Callithrix jacchus: one gene and its partners. The protein of the gene in region 1 interacts with the protein of each later gene in a biochemical or structural test. Links are inferred from orthologs where the notes say so. Each region holds a gene or a part of one and is shown in the gene's direction. Other genes may lie near its edges.

What was found. The genes of interacting proteins can lie anywhere in the genome.
Region 2: of the proteins of H2BC21 (region 1) and RNF40, one has a biochemical effect on the other in vitro, tested with the Homo sapiens proteins (2 studies listed by BioGRID). The link is inferred for Callithrix jacchus from reciprocal best matches to the Homo sapiens genes H2BC21 and RNF40.
Region 3: of the proteins of H2BC21 (region 1) and STK4, one has a biochemical effect on the other in vitro, tested with the Homo sapiens proteins (2 studies listed by BioGRID). The link is inferred for Callithrix jacchus from reciprocal best matches to the Homo sapiens genes H2BC21 and STK4.
Region 4: of the proteins of H2BC21 (region 1) and KAT2A, one has a biochemical effect on the other in vitro, tested with the Homo sapiens proteins (2 studies listed by BioGRID). The link is inferred for Callithrix jacchus from reciprocal best matches to the Homo sapiens genes H2BC21 and KAT2A.

Annotation. Positions count from the first base shown.
Region 1 is NC_133519.1:9,820,310-9,824,431, reverse strand, and holds H2BC21 (histone H2B type 2-E), read left to right. Parts: upstream 1-1,391; 5' UTR 1,392-1,433; coding exon 1,434-1,814; 3' UTR 1,815-3,622; downstream 3,623-4,122. Other genes in the region: H2AC21 (histone H2A type 2-B), read left to right, coding at 161-553; H2AC20 (histone H2A type 2-C), read right to left, coding at 710-1,099. UniProt on the Homo sapiens protein: Core component of nucleosome. Nucleosomes wrap and compact DNA into chromatin, limiting DNA accessibility to the cellular machineries which require DNA as a template.
Region 2 is NC_133513.1:30,299,989-30,303,954, forward strand, and holds the start of RNF40 (E3 ubiquitin-protein ligase BRE1B), read left to right. Parts: upstream 1-1,166; 5' UTR 1,167-1,218; intron 1,219-1,332; 5' UTR 1,333-1,403; coding exon 1,404-1,535; intron 1,536-1,709; exon of another isoform or gene 1,710-1,852; intron 1,853-1,977; coding exon 1,978-2,145; intron 2,146-2,277; coding exon 2,278-2,419; intron 2,420-3,183; coding exon 3,184-3,390; intron 3,391-3,920; coding exon 3,921-3,966. Other genes in the region: CFAP119 (cilia- and flagella-associated protein 119), read right to left, coding at 81-112, 431-646.
Region 3 is NC_133506.1:40,327,473-40,331,467, forward strand, and holds the start of STK4 (serine/threonine-protein kinase 4), read left to right. Parts: upstream 1-1,195; 5' UTR 1,196-1,260; coding exon 1,261-1,295; intron 1,296-3,995. UniProt on the Homo sapiens protein: Stress-activated, pro-apoptotic kinase which, following caspase-cleavage, enters the nucleus and induces chromatin condensation followed by internucleosomal DNA fragmentation.
Region 4 is NC_133506.1:91,110,911-91,115,005, forward strand, and holds the start of KAT2A (histone acetyltransferase KAT2A), read left to right. Parts: upstream 1-1,295; 5' UTR 1,296-1,358; coding exon 1,359-1,697; intron 1,698-1,833; coding exon 1,834-1,957; intron 1,958-2,292; coding exon 2,293-2,438; intron 2,439-2,546; coding exon 2,547-2,636; intron 2,637-2,930; coding exon 2,931-3,112; intron 3,113-3,211; coding exon 3,212-3,403; intron 3,404-4,095. UniProt on the Homo sapiens protein: Protein lysine acyltransferase that can act as a acetyltransferase, glutaryltransferase, succinyltransferase or malonyltransferase, depending on the context.

The DNA of each region.
Region 1 (4,122 bases):
TTTCTGCTTTCCTATTGGCTGTTGGATACGGCTCCGCTTTCAGCCAATCAAACGACTTCCCTTCACCCCTCCCGGTGGCTCTTATAAATTACATCAAATTGGTTATCCCTTCCACATTCTTCTCCTTGAAAAAGAAGCTGTGACTGCAATTTTAGCCGTAATGTCGGGACGCGGAAAGCAGGGGGGCAAGGCCCGCGCCAAGGCCAAGTCGCGCTCGTCCCGCGCTGGCCTCCAGTTCCCGGTGGGGCGAGTGCACCGCTTGCTGCGCAAAGGCAACTACGCGGAGCGGGTGGGGGCCGGCGCCCCAGTGTACCTGGCAGCGGTCCTCGAGTACCTGACCGCGGAAATTCTGGAGCTGGCGGGCAACGCGGCTCGGGACAACAAGAAGACGCGCATCATCCCTCGCCATCTGCAGCTAGCTGTGAGGAATGACGAAGAGCTCAACAAGTTACTGGGGGGTGTCACCATTGCCCAGGGCGGCGTCTTGCCCAATATCCAGGCTGTCCTGTTGCCCAAGAAAACGGAGAGTCACAAGCCTGGCAAGAGCAAGTAATAAATAGGCTTGACACCATACCCATTCACCCCAAAGGCTCTTTTAAGAGCCACCAAAGTGTCAAATGAAGGGCTGGTAACGAAACAGCGCATTAGCTCTTTTTTTGAAAACTTGGGTGGCTCTAAAAAGAGCCTTTGGTCTTTGGTTTGTCTGCATTTATTTGCTTTTGGCTTTGTGGCTTTCGGTTTTCTTTGGTAACAGAACGGCCTGGATGTTGGGCAACACGCCGCCCTGGGCGATGGTGACTTTGCCCAGCAGCTTGTTCAGCTCCTCGTCGTTGCGGATGGCCAGCTGGAGGTGACGGGGGATGATGCGCGTCTTCTTGTTGTCCCGAGCCGCGTTACCCGCCAGCTCCAGGATCTCGGCGGTCAGGTACTCCAGGACCGCCGCCATGTAGACGGGCGCGCCGGCCCCCACCCGCTCCGCGTAGTTGCCTTTGCGCAGCAGGCGGTGCACTCGCCCTACCGGGAACTGCAGGCCAGCGCGGGACGAGCGCGACTTGGCCTTGGCGCGGGCCTTGCCTCCTTGCTTGCCACGGCCAGACATGATTAAAACCAAGGCTAAACGCAGACAAAGCTCAGAACCACGCAACAAAATAAGATTGAAAGATCACCAAGAAGAAAGCCTTTATAAGCTTTCTTAGGGGTGGGGTCAAGGACGAGTTTTTCATTGGTCCTAATTTGGCTTCAGAGCCGGCCAATCAAGTCAAGAGTCGGTATCGCTACGTAGACGTTGCTGAAAACGCAAGGTCCACACACGGACCAATGGAAGTGAATTAGTTTCGGAGCCTTAATTTGCATAAGATGGTTATAAAAGGATCAGGTCCGCCCATTCTCTTACTTCTTTTCTTGGCTAAGTCGCGTTGGTACTGTGTCTTACCATGCCTGAACCGGCAAAATCCGCTCCTGCTCCTAAGAAGGGCTCTAAGAAAGCCGTCACTAAAGCCCAGAAGAAGGACGGCAAGAAGCGCAAGCGCAGCCGCAAGGAGAGCTACTCCATCTACGTGTACAAGGTGCTGAAACAGGTCCACCCCGACACCGGCATCTCGTCCAAGGCCATGGGTATCATGAACTCCTTCGTCAACGACATCTTCGAGCGCATTGCGGGGGAGGCGTCCCGCCTGGCTCACTACAACAAGCGCTCCACCATCACGTCCCGCGAGATCCAGACGGCCGTGCGCCTGCTGCTGCCCGGCGAGCTGGCCAAGCACGCCGTGTCCGAGGGCACCAAGGCGGTCACCAAGTACACCAGCTCCAAGTGAGTCCCTGCCGGGACCTGGCGCTCGCTCGCTCGCTCGAGTCGCCGGCTGCTTGAGTCCAAAGGCTCTTTTCAGAGCCACCCACCTAATCACTAGAAAAGAGCTTGTTCACTTACTCCCTTAGTTTTTTCTCACAAAGTAAGTTGTTTTAGCATAAGTCATGGGAAATAGCACACGTAGCTTAATCATTTGGAACTCGAGGTCCCCAGTGCATGATTGGATTTGCTTTTGAATCTAGAGCGTGTCGTTATTCATTGTGCTGCTTAGCTTTCCCAGGAGTCCGTTCTCATTTAGGGTGTTGGGAATCCGACTCTGCCCGCCCCCACCCCCGCCTTACACTGGCGCCCTGGTGGCTTCGTTGGGTCTGTTTCATCATTTCAAAACCAAGTGGCTGAGTCCGGCTGTTACTTAAGAGAACTCTGGGACACAATTCAGTCCGGGTGCCGCAAACTGCGTGACAGCGCTGTATGACTGACGCTTCGCAGCAGCTTTTGTGTCCGGTCACCAGTTTTGCCCTGGGATGGGGCCTCCTGTGGATGCCAGCCGTTCTGTGTACTTTGGACGAAGCCCGCGCAGCCGGGTCCCAGCCTTTTCCTGATTGGGCGACATGACTATTCGAAATTCTGCGCCGCTTTCTAATTTGTAGATTTCAGTTTCCGTGGTTCACTTTGAGATTCCTACTTCTCGGTTTGTGGATAATTTTTGCTTTTAATGGTGTCTGCTTTAAAATGGTAACGCTACGGCCCCGGGTCACTGCAAGACACCATGTAGATATGAGCTCAAAAGTCACCTCTCAGAGACCTTCTACGTCATCCACTCAGGAATTCGCGCCTCTCATAGTTCCCGGTCTCGTTTTATCTTCCTCGTAGCAGCTGTCTGAAATTGGCTCGTCTGTTTTCTTCATGGCATTCTCAAGCCCTTGACAGACCGGATGGTCTGGTTTTCCCGTGCCTCTTCAGCCAGTCAGTCTGGCACATTATGGACACTTACTTCAATACTACGGATTGAAGTAATATTGTTGGGTTAATTTTTCCATCCCACTTGTTTTTTAATCGCTTCTGTGGATGGATGATGGGTGCTGTTCATTTCCATTAGATGTACGTGAAGGCGCGGTGAAAATGGAAATGTTTTTGAAGTTATTCCCTCAAATGTATCCTTAGTCACTTCAGTGCAACAGCTGGGAGGGGGCCGTGTTAAGATTCTTTTGCATCAAAGAGGAGGTGGCAATGGTAGTTCCACCTTTGTGCTTCCCGGTTTAGCCTAACCTCCTTTGGATTTTCATCAAATTCAGCGTATTGGTCATGGGAAAGAGCCTTTTTCCTTCTTTTCTACTCCTGTCTTGGTGTTCCCTTCTTAAAGGAGAGGAGCTTTTAATTTGCACTCACCACCTGGTTTGGTTTTCAGGCGGCCATTCAAGATGGGCAGGACTACAAAGTTAATCTCTCTCTCTTTTTTTTTTTAAACAAATGAGGCCAAGAGAAGCCTGATTGGTCCATGGTCATGCAGTTCATACTGCCCACCTTTGTATTCTCAGATGCAGGACAATTGCATTTTAGTTTTATTTTGTGGAAGTGCAGAATATTTACTCTTTCTGTCAAACCCTTGATTCTGCCGAGGAACACACTGATGGTTTGATGAGTGATTCAACTCTACTTTTAGCTAAGGGCTTTGGGAGTTGATTGCAGGGGTTTGATGAATCCAAATGAGCTCTAGATATTATCACAGACTGAATAAATCTTAATTGTCTCCTACATGTGTGTTTTCAAATGTGTGTAGATGTTATTATTAATAAAGTTGCCAGTTAATTTAAAGTCTTTGCTGAATTATTTTATCTACAGTATATTTTCTCAATGAATGAGATTAACAGATACAACTTCCACTGGTTCTGTAGAAAAGCTTGGGAGCCTCTGAGCTGGGGGATGACTTGTTTATAAGCCACCAGCCAAACTGCTGCCCCAAAGGTGCATTGGGGCTTAAATAGTCTGTTAGAAGGTCACTGTTGGCTGGGTGCGGTGGCTCATGTCTATAACCCAGGACTTTGGGAGGCCAAGGCAGGCGTATCACAAGGTCAGGAGTTCGAGACCAGCCTAACATGATGAAAACCTGTCTCTATTAAAAAATTTTTTTAAAAAAAGGTCACTGTTAATGCTGAGTAATTGAAAAATATATGATCACAAATAGAAAGCAGTACAAATAAGATTGAAGAAATAAAGTTCATAATAAAGTTAAGCTAACACCTATGGAGCACTTACTATGTATCAGGCAGTGTTCTAGGTCCTTTATACATATTGACACATTTAATTCTCACCAG
Region 2 (3,966 bases), on another chromosome or scaffold:
AAGACAGGACTGTTGGGGAGACAATGAAGGAAGAACGCAAGTGTTCAGTGTAACTTTTCTTCAAGTCTCTTCACACTCACCACATGCAGATCTGGGGCCGGGGCAGCGGCGGCTGCGGAAAGAAAGCGAATTGGGGAGGCAGAGCTACGGTGTCCTGGCCCATGGCAAATCTCCAGCGGGCACAAGAACGCGCTGTATGTAACTTGCTATCTCAAGGACTTAGAAGGAGAGGCGCGGGCAAGGGCGGGCTTCAGCAGGCCCCAAGTGCTCTTCGCGAGCACAGTAACCACGAGGGTCACACACCCCTGCCTCTCCTCGTCCAGGCAGCCCGGGAGACGTCCCGAACGTTAGTAAACATAATGACGTGTGGGGCCTGCGGGGGAACCTGTTTATAAATATTCACGAGCGGACCAGACTGTCCTGCCCTCACCGGGAACAAGTTGGCTCCACGGTCTTCATCCGCTTTTGCCGCCACCGCCGCCGCCGCCGCCGCTGTCGACTGGTTCCGTATATTTGCTCGCGTCCGCGCGGCTGAACCACGCACTGATCTGCGATCCTTCCCGGCTTCCCGCCGCAGCTCGGAGAGGTGTTCAAGCTCCGACTGCACCCTCATTCCCAGGAAGTGGCTGGCTTTGCGGTTGAGCATCTCGCCGCTCTTACTGTGCTGCAGGACGCCCCGAGCTCCCGCCCCTCGGTTCCGGGACAGCCAGTTCTCGGTCTGCGGCTGCCAAGGCCGGGCGCTCGCCTCGGTCTGGCCAGTCTGCTGGCGGAGAGGCGCGGCGGGGCCAATCCGTTGGGGCGTCTCCCTCTGTCTCAACGGCGACGGTTGCCAAGGGTGCTTGCGAGGGAAGGAGGGCGGAAAATGCAGGCTCACGCCAGTAGCGAACGCGCAGATACGTAAGAAGTTGCGAGCGCCCACCTGGGCGCCCTCTCGTCCTAGTTGCCGGAAGTCTTCTCCAAGCTGGGAAGTGGGAGCGCGGTGTCAGTTACCATGGGAACTGCCTCTCGGCCAATCACCGAGAGAAAGAGGAGGTGTTTGGGAAGAAGCCAAAGCACCCGAGAGGTGGGACCAAGTGTAACCAATAGATTCAGAAGATAAAGACGTTTCCTCACATCCGGTGCTGCCTCTGGCGCCGGCGTTCTGCGCACCGGGGGGCGGGGAGGCCAGTGACGTCCGGTGAAATCCAAGATGGCTACGCTAGACTGACCCTGTTGCCGGTGAGGGCTCTGGCGCCGGCGGGGGCGGGATCCAGCAGGTGTTCGCGTAGTGGAGGTTATTTAGGGTTGTAGAGCACCAGCAGTTCCCACATCTCTGCTCCCTGTCTTCTGCAGGTGACGGAAGTACTGCCTTCTCCCGCCTGACGCCCCTCAGAGGACCCTGCGCCGCTCCTGCCGCTGCGGCCATGTCTGGGCCAGGCAACAAACGCGCCGCCGGCGACGGGGGCTCAGGGCCTCCGGAGAAGAAGTTGAGTCGTGAGGAGAAGACCACCACCACTCTTATCGAGCCCATTCGTCTGGGAGGCATCTCTTCCACGGTTCGTGGGCTCTTGCCTTAACACTCAGAACTTGTCAGAGTCCTCCTATTCTCTGCCTAAACTGTCCAGAGTCTTAAACCCACTTCCCCTCGTTTAGCAAGGTACGCGTTACGAGATATACAAGATACTCTGTTGAAAGAATCTGAGAACACGACGCCTGTCTTCCCTTTACAGATAGGAAAACAGGTTCCCAGAGGGCGTGTGATTTGTCAAAGACTAAGGAGTTAGAAGGGGCCAGGCAGAAAACAACGAGAGCCTCCTCACAACCAAGACACTTTCGCTGTGGGTTGTCTGAACCTCCTTAGATTCTGTTAGCGGTTAGTCTGGGAAAACCCCCATCTCCCATGCATTCCAGATGCTTTGCTCCTCTGTCTCTGTGATTGGTTTCTTGGCCCTGCTTGACCCTCTCTCTCCTACTTGACCCCTTTGTTTCCCTTGGTAGGAGGAGATGGACCTGAAGGTACTACAGTTCAAGAACAAGAAACTGGCAGAGCGGTTGGAACAGCGACAGGCTTGTGAAGATGAACTCCGAGAACGAATTGAGAAGCTGGAGAAGCGGCAGGCCACAGATGATGCCACACTCTTCATTGTCAATCGCTACTGGGCCCAGGTGGATGCCTTCTGCTTTCCAAGACCAGGCCTTGATTTAGCTGCCAATCTTCAGATTCCCCTGCTGGGAAAGCAGTATCATGCGGGAAAGCACTGAGGTATTCATAACCTTTTTGATTCTTTCTCCTTTCAGCTGGATGAAACTGTGGAAGCCCTTCTCCGATGCCATGAGAGCCAGGGGGAGCTGTCTTCAGTGCCTGAGGCACCTGGGACCCAGGAGGGGCTAACATGTGATGGGACTCCTCTTCCAGAGCCAGGAACATCAGAGTTGAGGGGTAGGACCAGAGTCCTGGGTTCTGGGGAGCTTAAGTTCTGGGAAAAGCCCTGGGGAGGAGGGGACTTTGGTGTTGAGCGCCTGAATTTGTTGCCTTACTACTCCCCACGAAATGGATTTCATATTTGGGCAGTAAAGTGCAGTGCACAAAAACACAGCCTTTGGAGTCTAACTTGGTTTGTAGAGCAATTTATGTTTTGACACCCATTTGTTTCAAAACAGTATTACTGTTGAGCATTGACTATGTATTTGACGCTGCTTTAGAAATGAGTATTGCAATTGCTATGAGGGAGGAATTATCATAAACATAGTAAGCAAAAAGTACTGGGGCTCCCAAAAGGGAGTAACTGTGTGCATGCATGTGTGTGTTTGTGAGTTCGTAATTTACAATGGGAAAGTACAGGAGGCTTCCCTGAGGACATGTTACACAGCTCTGTAGCTTTGGTGGTAACTGTCCCTCAGGAGGCTTCCATAAGTACATGATACAGGAGGCTTCCCTGAGAACATGATATGCAATTCTGTAGCTTTGGTGGTAATTGTGCCTCAGGACGAAGGACAGACATCCACCTCCGAGGCCCTTCCTGGTCCTGGTAATTTTGAGGAAATTATTTATGTCTCTGAACCTCATTTGTCTCACTTTTAAGATGGAGATAATAGTTGTGTTGATTAAGTGAGTCATGAGTATGGAAGGGCTCAGTCTGAAACTTGGTACAGAGTGGTGATAACTACTGCTTATCCTCATGAGGGTCTGTCCATTCCTCCCAGAGCCCTTGCCAATGCAGCTGCGGCCCCCTCTCAGTGAGCCGGCCTTGGCTTTTGTGGTGGCACTGGGTGCCAGCAGCAGTGAGGAGGTGGAGCTGGAGCTGCAAGGCCGAATGGAGTTCTCCAAGGCAGCTGTGTCCCGTGTGGTAGAGGCCTCAGACCGCCTACAGCGCCGGGTGGAGGAACTCTGTCAGCGAGTGTACAGCCGAGGTTGGTTCTTTATACCCATACTCAAGAGGTGTCCATCTCCACCTGCATCTTAATGGCATTCCTTCCCAATTCCCCTAAGGCCTGAGTCCAAGGGTGGCCAGAATTTCCCAAGGCATAAATAAGCCATGTGTTTGGGAGGATAAGTTAGGCTATAAATGGAGGCTCCAGCTTTGATTCCTGGATTGAATGCTAGAGAGATGGGTTGGAGGAGTTGTTGATGCTGGTAGAACCTCTCTGGAGTACTTTGTGCGGGTTGCACATGGCATAGCATCAAAGCCTCAGGTCTTTCAGGTTGACAGGCTTCTCCCACTTGAGTTCTGCCACCCTCACCTGGACATGCTGGGAAAGTGGCTCCCCTCTTTGAGCTGGTTTCCTCTGCTGTGCAGTGGGGATAAAGACTCTTGACTTTGTCGTGAGAAATTGGCAAGACAGCTGATCGATCGCACTGGGCACATAGCAGACTCCAGAATAAGTTAGTACTTTGCCCCATTGCCCTGAGCTGGGCTCTTACCTGGGCCCTGCCTTTCCAGGGGACAGCGAGCCCCTCAGTGAGGCAGCTCGGGCACGCACCCGAGA
Region 3 (3,995 bases), on another chromosome or scaffold:
GAATACTTGAAGGCAAATACATGGCAAATGATTAATTAATGTTGCTTATTTTATCCTGTTTTGGGCACATGGGATGCCATCCCTGGGTGGCCCTGAAGGGTGGGTGCTCAGGTGTTAAGTTCTGTAGATGGAATATCCCTGGGAAAGGCAAGGCAATTAAAAACAGTGAGAGGTTGCTCTGGTTAAGTTTTCTCCTGTAACTTTCCCCAGGGGTCAACTGGGTAGAATCTGCCATTTTCCTAATATTCATTGATGGTAGTGGCATTCAGAAGCGCAATAGCTGAAGCGAGAACTCACAGTGGAGAGAAAGGTCTGTCTCTCAGGCCCCAGAAGAGGTTAAACATCTGTGGATGTCCAGTTTGGTAGTGCAGGCCCTGAAATCAGACCAACCTGGGTTTAAATCCCCAAACCTATACTCTAAGCTATGTGACCTTGGGCTAGATACTTCACCTCTCTGGCCTTATGAAATAGGAATAATAATAATACCTCTAGGTTGTTAGGAGTATTAAATGAGGTAAGGCACTGAAAACGTGTAGGCACTGTGTTAAATCATTAAATAAATAAAAATGGGGATGACCTTATAGGCTTGACATGGGGGATTAAATGAGATAATATATAAAGGCAAATACATGGCAAATGCTTAATTAATGTTGCTTATTTTTATGTCTGCAAACTGACGTAAAGGGGAGGCCTTTAAGAAAAACAGTGGGGCAATTTGCACGTTGATGCTCTGTAACAAATCCGAGGAGAGAATGTGCAGGGGGCCCGTTGGGACCAGAGTTCAACCAAGTAAGCGGCAGGAAACCACAAATGCCTCCAGGGGTTCTGGGGCAGCACCGCCTCACCAAAATCATACAGAACTTGGTTTGCTAAGAATCGTCAGCTCTTCTCATGGACGCGCTTCATGTATCTTTGTCGGTGAATTGGGGCCCAGGACCCAGGTAGAAGTGCATCGTGTACCGACTATTTCGTGCGCTCCAGTATCGCAGGAAGACAGCGTCGCCGACACCCTAGATACCACCGGACAACGCCGGGAGGCGCCTTTACCACTAGGCGGTTCCGGGTCCGCGCCCGACCGCGCCACTTGACTCGCGCCCCGAACCACGTGATCAGGGCCGTGGCTCCGCCCCGCTCCCGCGGCGCGCTCCGCTTCCGGTAGGGGCGGAAAGCGGAAGTGTGGGTGGGTCTGCAGGGCGGGCATAGGGAGGTCCGCGGGGAGGATGGAGCAGTGAGCGGGTCTGGGCGGCTGCCGGCAGCGCCATGGAGACGGTACAGCTGAGGAATCCGCCGCGCCGGTGAGGGGCCACTAGCTAAGAGGACAGGCAAGGGGGCGGGGGAAGAAAAGGCGGGAACTGGTTGCGGGGAGACACCTGTGTGGGAGTCCCCGGAGCGAAGCGACCCAGCTGATGGGGCACCTGCTGAGTGGGGGGGACGTCTGGTGGGTGAGGGTCCGGGCGAGGGGAGCATCTGCTAAGGGGATAGACTTGGGACCGGTGAGAGGGAACACTCGCTGCGGGGAGACTCTGCTGAGGAACGTGGGGACAAGTTAGGGAGAGTACCTGCTGAGGCCGGGCCACTCTGGGGAAGGCTGTCCACGGAGGTAACGGGGAGAATACCGAAGCAGGGTGAGAACCTGTGAGGGGTCTTTTTAAGGGGGCAGATCGAGAACTGGCCGAGAGGAAGGCCGGGTGGACTTTCTAAGGGTCCCAAGTCCCACTTGAGGGGTGCAGTTTTGGGGATCTGTGGAGAGGAACAGCTTTGCGCCTAAGCCTGAAGGCATGCGAAGAGAGTTTGAGGGTCTAGCAAGGGAGGGGAGGGTGGAGGGCAGCATTTGAGAGGATGCTGTTGGTGGTGACTCCACTGTAGGATGGCATCTTTTATTACTGATGTTCAGAGTGTCTTTCTGATGGTCTTCACGTTCTCCTCAGCCCTTCAGAACCTGACATTGGGAGGTAGGTGAGGAAATAAGAGGATATTTTCGAGATGGGCAGACCGAGGTCCAGAAGAGTTGGGAAACGTGTTTCCTTCTTTATTCCGGGTCACTGAACCCGGCCAGACTGTGCCCTTTTCAGACCTCAGTTGTTTTGTGTATATCAGCGCCAGATCCTAGTGGTACCTGGAATTGCTTTAGGTCAAGATCAGGATGGTGGCTGATCCTAGAAAATCTGAACTCCTGGATTTCCCCTCTGGACATTTCGGGTCGTTTACCACTCTGCCACATCTGAAGAAAAGTAGGGAGTAGAGACAGAAGGAGTCATGCTTCTCTGAGGTGCAGTGTGGTTACTTCTGTTTCATAGAGACGTCTGACTTCCTGCAGCAGAATGAACTGTAAAGAAGGAAGTGTTTAGGGTGTGGAAGTGCAGGACAACCGAGAGGTGAAGAGAAGGGATTGACTATCTGGACAGCACTCTTGGGGGTTGTTCGAGCTTAGGGGTGTTTGAAGTGCACAAACATTGCAGAAGGCAAATAGGTGGTTGGGATGGGCTTCGGATTCACCCTAGCTTAGTGTGCTGAGACTGTAGTAGTAATGGTTAATTACACTCATATTGCACTTACCAGGTGCCAGGCACTCTTCTAAGTGCTTTCCATGTCTCCTACTGAAGCATATGAAATTGCTGATATTTGACCATTTTTGAACCATAAAATGGTAACTTCATATGGTTCAATTTATTGACTCATTTGAACCTCACAACAATCCTGTGCGGTAGATATTCCTATATGTCTGTTTTACAGATGATAAAACTGAGATACAGACAGGGTAGTGATTTGCTTAGAGAAGTCATAGCGAGTAAGAGGCAGAGCTAGGATTTTAATATCTGTGGGGTCTGGTCCAAAGTCCATGCTTTTAACTGCCTCACTCTGATCCCTCTCTGAAAGTACCCCTGTTTCACAGGTCTCTGTGTATGTTAGCAAATATTTGCTATAGTACCACAGTGATCCAGTTACAAATGCACACTGGTTATGTTTCTTTCTGAACTATGTTTGTTCTTTCTCCTTGGTTTCTTTCTCTGAGGCCTTGTTTTAATTGAAAAGGGGATTAGGAATCTGAGTTTTGTTTCCCCCTTTGACTTGTGTTACATAATCTTGGGCAAAGGACTAAACTTTCTTGGCATGCTCATTCCTGTACCTTTTGGATTTAAAAAAAATGTATTAAAAGTGCAAGAGAAGAGCATTACAGGACTGAGTTCTTAAGTGACTGGTGATTCCCTGCTCATTATAACTAGTAGACTGCCTAATTTGAAGCAGATCAATTTTATTATCATTTCTATCAGTTTTTAGGACATGACAAAGTATCATGGACTGGGTGGTTTAAGCAACAGAAATTTATTTGCACACCTTTCTGAAGGTTAGAGATCTGAAATCAAGGCATTGTCAGAGTTGTTTCTTTTGAGGCCTTTGCTTGACTCGTAGATGGCTATGTCTCCATGTTCTTCCCTCTGTACTTGTCTGTGTCCTAATCTCCTCTTATAGGAACACTAGTCATACTGGATTAGGGCATGCCCATATGACCTCATTTTATCTTAATTACCTCTTTAAAGGCCTTATCTTCAAATACAGTCACATCCTGAAGTGGTGGGTGATAGGACTTCAACATATGAATTGGGTTAAGCTGGGGACACAGTTTTATTATCATTAAAAATTTTGTCAGCTTATCATATATATTTGTTGTAATCCATATCAAATTCTGTGTGGAAAAAGAGATAGTTATACATAAAATGAACTTTATGGGAGTTCTGAAATGGGAGAAAGCTTTGAGAATTAGCCAAACCTATGACTACTTCATAGACACCATTACTTGTATTTGGAAAGATGTTGGTGTCTTTCAGAAATTCAGATGGCATGTGTTTCCAACAACCCCAGTGCAGGAAATGCCTTTTGTGTTCATGAGTTTGACATTTGTATGTATGTGATTAAGTGAATGATGACAGATTGGTGTCTCATATAGGAATTCATAATTTTAAAAAGTGAGTTGTTATTAGATAATGGTATAGTGG
Region 4 (4,095 bases), on another chromosome or scaffold:
GTCAGCCACGCCCATCTTACCACCAAGAGCAAGACTGTCAGCGCCAGGCAGCTGCTCTCATCCCAGACCCTGACCCTTTCTCCGCCTTTCCCCACCTCGTCAATGGGTCTGGGGTTGTGGGTCTGGATCCACAACCAGGCCAGATCTGAGGGAGCCGGACCCCGCCGCTGCCAGCAGCAGACTGATACGCTGGCTAGTGGGAAGGGGGCTGTCTTGCCTTCTAAGGACCAGACCTGGGGCTAGGATTGTTCCCAGATACAGCCAGGGGAGGGTGGCCTTCCTGGGTCATCCACCCTGCCTCTCCCTGACCACCGGCAACTCCATGCGACACGTGGAGACGAGGAGGCAGACTGGTCTCTCCAGCTGCCTTAATAAATGAGCTCCTAGGGCTTCCTGTGAGGCAAGCTGGGTTCTGGGCTCTGGGGCCACAAAGATGAAGGCACAGTTGGGGCTTCAGGACAGCAGCTCCCAGTGCACAGAGAAAGACCTAGCTCTCCTCTGCCTGACCCTCCACCTCAGTAGCCTTGGTGACCATCGTGACCACAGCTATGGCTCTGGTGCTGTTATTTGATAAACTTTATTTTTTAAGAGACAGGGGTCTATGTTACCCAGGTTAATCTCGAACTACTAGGCTCAAGCGATCCTCCCATCTAGGCCTCCCAAAGTGCTGGGATTACAGGCGTGAGCCACCTCACCCAGCCTATAAAATTTATTTTTTTATTTTTTGTAGAGATGGGGGGTCTCCCTATGTTGTCCAGCCTGGTCTCGAATTCCTGGGCTCAAGCGATCCTCCTGCGTGAGCCAGCCACCTGGCCTGATAAACTCCCTTTGTTAGTGATACTATTAAATACATACATACAGAAAAGCACACAAAAGGATGCAGGTGAATGTCAGAAAGAGAACATACCGAAGTCACCACCACACTGCAGCAGAACTGTTGCTCCATCTCATCTCTACCGCAGCTGCAATTCCGTGTCCGGAGCCGCGTGGGGCCGGGCCTGTGCAGGAGTTGGGGAGACGGTTAAGCCGTAGAGAGACTCGGGGAAGAGGCAGACCTCATGATTCTCCCAATACTCCTTGTCCCCAAGAAAGCAGCCATCGTGACTCGCTCGGACACCTTTAAAAGAGATTAGAAGTGAAGAGGGGTCAATGTGGGGCTTTCGCTCAGGCCTCACTTGGCTGTCAGGGACCAAGAGACAGGACAGAAAAGTCTGGAAGCTAAAGGCAGTGGGGGAACAGAGCGGGAAGACTACAGCTCCCGTCGTGCGCTGCGCAACGACGCCTGCGTACTGAGCGCCGGTTGCCCACGCGGCCCTAGGGCTGGGAGCGCGGCGCCGCTCTCCGTTGCGGGGGAGGCCATGGCGGAACCTTCCCAGGCCCCGACCCCGGCCCCGGCTGCGCAGCCCCGGCCCCTTCAGTCCCCAGCCCCTGCCCCAACTCCGACTCCTGCACCCAGCCCGGCTTCAGCCCCGACTCCGATTCCCACTCCGGCACCAGCCCCTGCCCCAGCTGCAGCCCCAGCCGGGAGCACAGGGACTGGGGGGCCCGGGGTAGGAAGTGGGGGGGCCGGGAGCGGGGGGGATCCGGCTCGACCTGGCCTGAGCCAGCAGCAGCGCGCTAGCCAGAGGAAGGCGCAAGTCCGGGGGCTGCCGCGCGCCAAGAAGCTAGAGAAGCTAGGGGTCTTCTCGGCTTGCAAGGTGGGGGCGGGGCCTGGGGTGAAGGGGCGGGGCTTGGGGCATCCCTGGGCTCGGGTGGGAATGGGGTCAAAGCTCTGGCTGCGGAATGGCTCTTGCCCCAGAGATATAGGTCACAGACTGATCCTTCCGCCTCCAGGCCAATGAAACCTGTAAGTGTAATGGCTGGAAAAACCCCAAGCCCCCCACTGCACCCCGCATGGATCTGCAGCAGCCAGCTGCCAACCTGAGTGAGCTGTGCCGCAGTTGTGAGCACCCCTTGGGTAAGGCAGGCAGCGCCTTTGGAGCTGGGGGCAGGTGCAGGGTCCTGCTTGGACAGGGTGACAAGTCCCACAAAGCCTCATCTCTGAAAAAAAATCAAAGATGCTTCCTAAGGAGGGATTGGGTTGGGGGTGTGCATGCATCAAGAAAGGGGAAAGGAAATCTCAGCCCAGAACAGGTCCAGGCAACTCAACGGTTGCTTTGGAGCAATTAGTCTCACTGTTGGTCACACTGGTTGGTGGGACGGAGTGTGTATCTTGGTTGGCTGTGAAGAGGGGCAAGAAGCCTTGTTGCTCTCTTCTATCAGTTTTTCCCAACTCTGCCACCTGTCTTGCAGCTGACCACGTATCCCACTTGGAGAATGTGTCAGAGGATGAGATAAACCGACTGCTGGGGATGGTGGTAGACGTGGAGAATCTCTTCATGTCTGTTCACAAGGAGGAGGACACAGACACCAAGCAGGTCTATTTCTACCTCTTCAAGGTGAGCTTCCACCTAAGGAGGGTGTGAGTGGGTGGAGGAGGTGGGGCCTTGAGGGGTTGTCTGTAGCTCTGCCCCGCTCCCTCCGCCTCCCCTTCCTCTTCTCTGCAGCTCCTGCGGAAATGCATCCTGCAGATGACTCGGCCCGTGGTGGAGGGGTCCCTGGGCAGCCCCCCATTTGAAAAACCTAATATTGAGCAGGTGGGATTGGGGAATTGGAGATAGTGGGTAGGAGAATTGGGGACAGCTTGGAGGAGTGGGAAGCCTGTGTTCTCCATCCTCAAGCTGAGAACATAGGGGAGGTTCAGAGAAGGGAGGGTGTTTTGTGCTAACCTCGGTGTGGTAGGGAGGGGGCAGAGCTTCTTTATAGAGAGCACCTGAGAGAGAGGAGCGATCCTTGTCCCTGGCCTCGGGAAGCATCTTCTTTTGTCTAAGAAGGCCCTGCGGGCTGCTCACACCTCATTCCTGGTTTTGTCCCCACCCACCCCTTCTCAGGGTGTGCTGAACTTTGTGCAGTACAAGTTTAGTCACCTGGCTCCCCGGGAGCGGCAGACGATGTTCGAGCTCTCAAAGATGTTCTTGCTCTGCCTTAACTACTGGAAGCTTGAGACACCTGCCCAGTTTCGGCAGAGGTCTCAGGCTGAGGACGTGGCTACCTATAAGGTCAATTACACCAGGTAGGCTCAGCTGGGGGCAGCGTCAGGGCAGGCTTGCAGGCTCAGCCTGGGTTCCGTGGTTTCCACCCTCACCTGTTTCCCCTCTGCCCCCTACTTTAGATGGCTCTGTTACTGCCACGTGCCCCAGAGCTGCGACAGCCTGCCTCGCTATGAAACCACTCATGTCTTTGGGCGAAGCCTTCTCCGATCCATTTTCACTGTCACCCGCCGGCAGCTGCTGGAAAAGTTCCGAGTGGAGAAGGACAAATTGGTGCCGGAGAAGAGGACCCTCATCCTCACTCACTTCCCCAAGTAAGGCTCCTTCTGGCCTATCAGGATTTGGCACCAAGTTCACTTCCTCCCTGTTGTCCCCTTTTTTCCAGGAAGGCTTCCTGGATTGGTCCCTCCTCTCCCTCCATGGGCCTTCTGGGATCTGGGCGTCTACCTGGCAGACTTGCCCATGGCCCAGAAGCAACTTGCTAGTACTAGTCTGGGGATGGCAGGTACATGGCCTGAGCTAACGCTGCCCCCCTCACCCCACGCCCCGGTAGACATTACTAATTATTTCCCATGGGGGCCTGGACACAGCCTCAGACTCCTTCCCTGCACAGTTCTCCAAGAAAGCAGAGCTTATGCTTGAAGTGAAACCCTTTTCCACTCCTATTCTTGTCTTTTCTGTACCGTGTTCTTCTGTTTGGCCACACCTTTTACAATCTGGGCCATAACTCCCCTGTTCAAAAAGCCTTACTGACTAATCCTGTGCCCTGGATTAATCCTCTAGTGCCCCCTGCCACCAGGTGGGAACAAAAAAAGGCAAGGTGGGGTGGAGTCTGAGCCCATTTTGATACTGAGGGCAGTGAGGGGACTCAGGGTGACAAGGTGTCCTGCCTGGCCACACAGCACAGGATGACATCAGCTCCGACCTGTCTCCTTGTGCTGCCCAGCATGGCGAAACTGAGCCTCTTTGATCTCTGTTCTGGATGTGTCCTATCCTCTTACCTTCA